Nothobranchius furzeri: one gene and its partner. The main gene of each other region encodes a partner of the protein of the gene in region 2 in a complex. Links are inferred from orthologs where the notes say so. Each region holds a gene or a part of one and is shown on either strand. Other genes may lie near its edges.

Evidence for each region. The genes of interacting proteins can lie anywhere in the genome.
Region 1: emc2 (region 2) and emc9 share a complex: the UniProt entries of both Homo sapiens proteins name them as parts of the ER membrane protein complex. The link is inferred for Nothobranchius furzeri from reciprocal best matches to the Homo sapiens genes EMC2 and EMC9.

The regions. Positions count from the first base shown.
Region 1 is NC_091747.1:62,729,114-62,733,154, forward strand, and holds emc9 (ER membrane protein complex subunit 9), read right to left. Parts: upstream 2,802-4,041; 5' UTR 2,640-2,801; intron 2,460-2,639; 5' UTR 2,453-2,459; coding exon 2,255-2,452; intron 1,577-2,254; coding exon 1,500-1,576; intron 1,425-1,499; coding exon 1,355-1,424; intron 1,256-1,354; coding exon 1,161-1,255; intron 948-1,160; coding exon 767-947; 3' UTR 8-766; downstream 1-7. Other genes in the region: uncharacterized protein, read right to left, coding at 3,963-4,041. UniProt on the Homo sapiens protein: Part of the endoplasmic reticulum membrane protein complex (EMC) that enables the energy-independent insertion into endoplasmic reticulum membranes of newly synthesized membrane proteins.
Region 2 is NC_091745.1:54,005,921-54,009,909, forward strand, and holds the start of emc2 (ER membrane protein complex subunit 2), read right to left. Parts: upstream 2,816-3,989; 5' UTR 2,767-2,815; coding exon 2,691-2,766; intron 2,010-2,690; coding exon 1,896-2,009; intron 1-1,895. UniProt on the Homo sapiens protein: Part of the endoplasmic reticulum membrane protein complex (EMC) that enables the energy-independent insertion into endoplasmic reticulum membranes of newly synthesized membrane proteins.

The DNA.
Region 1 (4,041 bases), on a different chromosome or scaffold from region 2:
CCACGTGGGCAGTGAAAATGACGTTTTATTGTTGTTAAATGCTTTAGTTCTCTTTTATTAGCTTTTAGAAATGATCGTTTTTCTCCTCAGAATTTAGTTTTTACTGATTTTATCTGAAAATGTTCATTGAAAAAAGAAACATTAAAACCGGCGCTCCAACATAAAACATTTTCTGTGAAACTCGCCTCAGATATTACTTCAGCATTACTTTTACCGTCTTAGAGCTCAGACTATAATCTAGATTATAAAAGGTTCAGATTGTTACAGAAAGGTCAGTCGAGTTTAAATGAGACTTAAATGTCCTGCAGCAAATACTTTTACTCTTAAACCACGCAAGGAGTTTTTAAGGATCACACTAATAAAAATAAGTAATAAATACAAGCATAAGCTAAAACATAATCCTTTAATCTGGGGAAATTTGTAGGGAATAATAATTTCATGCAGGTTTGATGCGACAGTAAAAAGCTCCAGCAGCTGAATTCGTCTAATCTGTCGCTGCAGGACTTTTACGTTCGAGTTTTTGCTTTTCCAAGATGATAAATCAGGAAAACGGGACCAGAAATAAACAAGAGGAGTAGCTTTAGTTCTTAAGGTGGATTTAATCCACCTTAAAAAGGGGAGAGATGTAAATATTCTATTATTTATGCACGTTTGTCTTTGTTCAAACACAAATAAATCCTGTCCTGGACTCTGCGCTTGTGAAAATCCACCTTTACAGAACAACACGACAGGCAGGTTTTACCACGGAATGATGCGGCGTTCCCATCTAAATGTTCCCATTAACTGGAGAGCAAAGCTCTGCTATCTTGCTGTTGAGTTTCTGATTGGTCCAGTCCCTGGTGATGTCATCCAGGTGGCTGTCGAAGTCTACCAAGAGGGAGTGGTCACCAGAATCCAGCATCTGGCTGGCGACATCCCGGATCTCCTCCCACTGCCGCAGCATGATCCTGAACAGACCCACGGAGATCATCAGTTACACGCGCCGGCCACTTTGATAGGTACACAAATAACCGATCAGCCAATCAGAAGGTGGCAACTCCGTGAGTTTAGTCATACAGGTGTGATGAAGTTTAGTGCTCGGCTCACGTGAGCCTGGTTTAAACCACAGACTACCCGAGTGGTGGTGGTGAACCTCAGGCCACCCCCCCGCTGATTCTTACGTGTGTTTGTCTTTGAGCGTCCATCTTGAATCTTTGCGTTCGTACATGACGATCGGAGGAACTCGATAATCTGGAGACATTTTGCTGCCGTCGAGCTGTGAGGAAACAAACCTGATCATAATCTGAGGGCAGAAGGTTCATTATTCATGAAAGACTCATTTAATAAAAACGTTCTGTTTCATCCGTTTTCTCACCATTAATAAAACGGCTCCATCAAACTGCTCAGCGATCTTATCAGCGATCTTCAGCGCGCACGGCGTCGGGCTGTCAGGAAACGCAACACGTTAGCGAGCGGTGGTGGGGTGTATCTGACCATGTGACTGGTGTGGAGAAGCTCACCTGCTGTCTGAGGTGCAGGCGTTGGCCTGATAATACCCGACTATCCTCTGCTGAGTCTGAGAACACCAAACATCCACCTGGAAAAACAAAAGCTTGAAATGTTCTGTGGAAGTTTAAAACATCCTGGAGAATCGAGCGGGACTCCAGGAAGTCTGGAGAAATAAATCCTGATTAAACAGGATCCACCTTCGCATTAGATGTCCTTGTTTTTGCACATTTAAACACATAGCTGCACCTGTGTCCAACTTGATGCAAGCTGAGACAAACATGGCTTTAGGTTTTAACCCTCTCAGGCTCTAAATAAGTTTTAATAAAAGGACGAACAACTAAGTCCTTCAGGGGTACTTCTGAGTTACAAAAATACTCATGAGATACGTGTGTGGAGTAACCAGGTAGGTAAGTTTTAACGTTGCAAATCTGAAACGCCTGTCTCCAGAGGGTTAATCTGGATCTGTTAGGACGACAGCTGCCCAGTTTATAAAAACATCTGCTTTCCCTGGTGTTCAGTAATACCCAGTAGGTTGTACGTTTTAATGTGTTTTTATGGATTTGAGTCTTTTATTTTGGCTTTAGTCTCTTAAAAGCTATCCTAGCCGTTAGCCTATCAGGCCTGTCATCACTAAACAGGTAAGATACGGATTAGTTATAACATTTATACAGAAACATGCCAACATAATTAAAATACACCTTTAAGTTCAGAAAAACAGAGAAGACTTAAACAGTGACTCAAAGGGGTACCAAACTGTGCACTACACCTGTGTGAGAGCCAGCTGCGTGATGGGGGCCAGCGACAGGTGCGAGTGCAGCAGCGGAACGCAGTCCGTCACACAAACAGCGCCACCTGCCGAGCTGGACGAGGACAGCAGCAGCCCGTTGACGCTGCAGCGCGGAAACAGGCAGGCGTGCAAGTACATCTTCACGTAAGCCCGACAGGAGAGCTCCACCTCGCCCATAGTGGCCCTGCGGAGGAGAAACGGGAGCTGTAACACCCAGGCCAGGGTCGAAGTAGCATCAGCTCACAGCTGTGGTGGTGGGCAGCTCCGAGTCAGACCGGAAACGTCCCTGCATGGCTGCGTTTGCTGATGCTACTGTCGCTAGCATACCGGCTAGCTAGGCACAGAAACCTCTCTCTGGTCTTACCTGCTGAGGAATGTTTCACAGTAGAGGTTCAAAACCTAAATGGTAACCCTTCACAAACTCTGGGAGTTTATTAAATCTTTACCAAAGCCAGTACGAGGCCTGTTATTTACTCACAAACGGACTAAAGCCACACGGCCGTCACTAGCTCCACCCAGAAAATTATTTGTAACGTTTTGATTGGCTTAGACAGGGTCTAAACTGTGATTGGTGGGAAGAACGTGTTCTCTTAAATGACACGTGCGCCCTCTAAAGGACAGGAGGTAGATAGCGGTTTAATACGGAAATATACTTAATCTAAAATATTTTTGCTCAGTTTTGAGACAGATTCAACTTTACGGAATTTCACATCGATTAAAATGTAGAGTTCCCTGGACGTCTCAGTCCCTACACCTCCAGCAGGTCCCTGAGGTCCAGTGCACACCAAAACCTACTGGATGTGCAGCTCACCAGGCTAAAGGTGACAGATTCGCTGCTGTGGCCACCAGACTGGTCCTTTCCTGAGCCCGAGATCAGTAGAATCCTTTTAAAAGTTCCTGAATTCCCTGTTCAAGCTGGCTTTTAATTCCCTTTGTCACTACCTTATCCTGCCCTTACATAGTCATTTTCCCCTGCAATCCACTGATTTCCCTTACAATTTCAACTTAAATTTTTTTTAAGTTTCTTTGTGAAGCACCTCGTGAGTTTTAACTTTAGGTGCTACATAATTTTGCTTATATGCCCCAAATCTTTTGTTACTGCAAGACCATTTTCCCCATGCTTTAAAGCCAATGTTTAAACACGTTTGCATTTGAACCCACACTGGTAAACCCTGATGGTTCAGAAACATGTTCCGCCAAAAATAAAGTTACCTTCTGGTTTAGTTCACTGTACTTTCTTGCGTTAAGTCAAAGGTAAACTGCAGATCTAGATCTGTTTGCTTTTATTAATGTAACTGAATAGACAGGCTCAGAGCAGAGCAGATACCACTTCTTAATCTAATGACCATTTAAAGCTGGGAACCAAAGACCTATACCTGATCCAACCCAATCAGAATCACTGCTGTTATATTTCAGTTCCCATAGTTTATGGAATGTTCCAGTTACTCTTCAACTAAGGGGAGACAAGAAATCATGGTCCACTTGAAACACTACAAGAAAGGTTAGAAAAGAAACGAAACTTTACAAAACCCAGTTATTAAGTTACATGTTTTTATTTGGAAGTTCTCATGGAGGTTCACTCTCACCACTTTTCTGCACCTGGGTGGGGATAAATAGTTTCAGATGAGATTGAAGAAATAAAATATGTAAAATAAGGTTACTTACTGACCCACTGAGACAGGTTGGTCTAGTAATAACGCTTCTTTGGAGACTGAAGTTTCATCATTTGGTGAGGTTTTTGCGGCCACTTGGAGAAGTGGCTTGGT
Region 2 (3,989 bases):
TGACGTGTCTTCCGCTAAGACTGCGCTGAATGCGCGACCCTGTACATCACATACGGGGGGGCCGCCCAGCGACCTCCTTTTATCCCGTCTTGGTTTGAGAGGTGCCTGATGGCAGTATATTCTAGCTTCCGCTTTGCTAATATAAATGCCAAAATCTTCCCCAGGGTGCCGCGGCAAATCCCGTTTTGCAAACGCTACGGTCCTTTAAAAACAACTCGATTCCAGTCGGACCGCCAAGGAAGATGTCTGGCAAAAGTCACCTCAGAACAGAAAATGCACATATTGCCCAGATGTGAAACCAAAAAAGCTATCCAGCCCGTACCGTACCAAACCAGATATGGAAGCCGCATTTGTGAACAAAACCTGGCCACGCAGGAGGGGGAAGACGCTACCGAGATGAGACTGGGCGAGGACAGATGTGAAGGTGCCATAAATAATCCCTAGGTGTGAGTGAGTGTGTGACTGGTTTAGGGCTGAAACGATTCCTCGAATACCTCGAATAATTCGAGTACAAAAAATCCTCGAGTCAAATTCTCTGCCTCGAGGATTCGTTTAATTCATATTAATTCATGGCTTTGCAATCGCCCGGGGTCATGTTTCACCCGGACCGAAATAACACATGCACATGCCCACTGGGCTGAATGCACACGCGAGTAGCGAACGTAACTTAACTTTCTCTTAAGCCATGGCGGACAACGTAGACCCCGGTGGAGTTCTAAAAAGACACAAAATGTCAAAGGTGTGGGACCATTTTTCACGTCGTATGGTGGAAAACGTAGTCCAGTATAAATACTGTAAAATGGATTTAGCCTAGCACAACACCACATCCTCCGTGCTGCAGCACCTGTAAATGTCACTTCTGCAAGCGGACTCAGAGCCTCTACAAGATAATGCTTTTTAGCCTGTATTTCTATATATTCTGCAGATGCTGTGCGACTTTTTCGTTTGTAGCACTCAGTTTTAGCTCACACCATACATCTGGTAGCAACACGTCAAACTTAAAATGTGCTAAAAAATTGTTTTACACAACACGTCGGACTTTTTATTGTGTTATTGATGTCCGTTGTCCCTCGGGGTTTCTGCAGGAGGACACAGGTATTTATGAGTGGCGGAGGAAAACGAAAGAAAGTAAATAAATGTTTTGCGATCAGTATAATTTGACAAAACCACAGCAAACATGCTTTCTCGACAATCCTTGTTATTGTGTGAGAAAAAAAGTGTAGAAATTAAAACGGACGTGTGTTAATAGGGAAACAGCCGGCGAGCTGTTTGCGCATGCGCCGTGAGCGGTTCTGGTTCTGTTTGGGCCGCAGCCGCTCGCAGCGCTACTTCAACAGTTATCCTCTGGCTTGCAGGTTAGCAGATTCTCGCACGAGGGGAAAATCGGCTCAGGTTGTTTACTTATTTTTTGCACAGGCATTTGTTTACTGTGAAGTAAAGTTGAAGTGCTGAAGTTTTGAAAACTAATTTTGAATAAAACTTGAAGAATAACTGGCAATTGCTTGCTCATTTTAAGAGGTCTTTCATAATTATAACATGCTATTTGATATAATGGTTTACAAACACAAAAGGGTAATTTATTAGAGTACTCGATTAATCGAAAAAAAGATTCGATAAGAGTACTCGATTACAAAAATATTCGATAGCTGCAGCCCTAGACTGGTTGTCTCTCTGTAGTCCTGTCATGGACTGGAGATCTGTCCAGGGTGTTCCACTTGGTGACAGCTAGATCTCAGCTTCCCATAACCCTACTGAGGAATAAGTAACTCAGATAATTAGTATGTGTGAATAAGTGAGTTACTAATTAAAAACTGTTTACTTTTCCGAAATTTCTCAGTTTTGAAAAAAAATGAGGCAAAATTATGTCAACCGGCGAATAAAATACAAATGCCTACCATCATCTCCCAGTTTAGATGCATGGTCACTGATGAGCTCTTCTCCAACATCCACTATCTGTTCACTGTTCCTGCTGTTGTCTTCTCTCCATTTACGTAACTTGTCTCTCATCTCTGTGAAAAAAGCATCCAATCATAAGAAAGTTTTGGCAGCATCACAGTTCAGCATTTAAGCCTTTTATTCCTTAGTTCACATACATAATCTACTGTTTTTCTAAACACGCTCAGGTTTATTAGACAGCTAATAAAACTCATGCTAGCTGTAACCTTACTTCCGTGGAAAATAGCGTATCCGAAGTTAGTTTTGTCGGCTTTTGTTTCACAATAAAATAGTTAGATGCTCATTACACGACCTTAGAGCTTAGAAAACAAATAAGACCTGTAGTAAAAACTAATGTTATCCCCGTCCAAAGCTGTTTTTTGTCGCAGCATTATTGGCTAATTTCGTAACCCGTACCCGTTTACAATGTACTAGTAGTTATTACATCCCGTTCTTAATCAATTACTTGATAATTTACACTTTATTAACCGCTGTACTGTAACTCGTTATCAACTGGGTCGAGGAGAAGAATAACGCTGGTATTAACTACTGTCTGTCGCAAAAATGACAGGTTAGCTCACCAAGCTAACTAGCATTGGCTAAGTGCTACAAAGGCAGCCTTCTCATTTGAGCGTACTTCAACGGTGAGACAACGGAGACATTAACCCTAACCCTTACACGAAGAATCACTGAATGTCTGAAAAAAAATATCAAAACGTGCCACAGTCATGCACGAGAAGGATTGACCTTCTTACCTTCCCATCCCACATCGTACAATTCTGATACAGACGCCATGTTTTCCAGAGGACAGTGTGAGCATGCGTACGTCATACCTGTTGGATGAATGAGAGATGACCCGACTACTATTATGATATAAAGAACACAGGATTAAAAAGAAATTTAAATGTAGCAAAACCCTATTATTATTATTATTATTATTATTATTATTATTGTTATTATTATTCGTAATGGATTAAGTAGGTGATGAATTTGCAAAAACAAAAGTAAGAAATCCATCTACATTTGTTCCAACATCTTAGAAAGCAGCAGATGATGACGGTGGTGACGATAATGATGATGATGATGATGATGATGATGATGATGATGATGATGATAAAAAAATCACATGATCAAACATTATTAATAGCAGGTATTGAATGAGCATGAAATGTGTATTGGTAATATTTTCATAGTCATTAAGACTGAATACCCTTGATAATTATTCATTTTCTATTGACAGTACATTTTCTGCAGTATTTGCATTCAGAATTATTATAATTCACATATTTGGCCATATCACATAAATAATAAAAGTAATGTTACACATATTCTTGCCAAAACTCACCACAAATATGATTCCAATATACTGCAAACTTGAATTATGTAATTCAGGAAAAAGCACCAAATGGCCAGCAGAGCACTATTGATCTTGTGCTCCATTTTCATTGTTTTGATTTTTCATCAAAGTACTAAAAAGCACGGTCCGCTGACCCTAGAATTTTTTTTTTTCACAAAATATAAAATGCGCTTATTAAGCATATAGACCAGTTTATCCTGATTTCCCCCAGGACGCTGTGTGACTTGCTTACACATTTCTCCTATACCACATCACACACTTGTTGATGCAGCCACAGCATAAACTTGCTTACTAAGGACATCAGAGATGTAATGTCATACCCACTGCAGCTCATTGCACATAGCATACCACATGTTACATGCTTTGTTGATTTTCTCTTGTGAAAGGGCAACAAGGACAAGGAACAGCAGTATGCTAGAACAGTTTGATTTAATCAGGACTAGACAAGTGCACGCTCACAGGAGAAAGCTAAAATGTCATAATCTCTTTCTGGAATATAAACAGTAACAATGTGTACAGTTTAAGTTATGCTCGCTCTGGCAATGTGGGTCCTTGTAATTTTCAAGTCTGCACATGGCAGTCAGTAGATGTGTGGTTGAGTTTTTGCTGGAACACCAAATACCAAAGAAACCACATTAAAACAATCACACACTGTCCTCTGGGGTATAGGGCTTCCCTTGGCTGCCAAGGTGCCTGT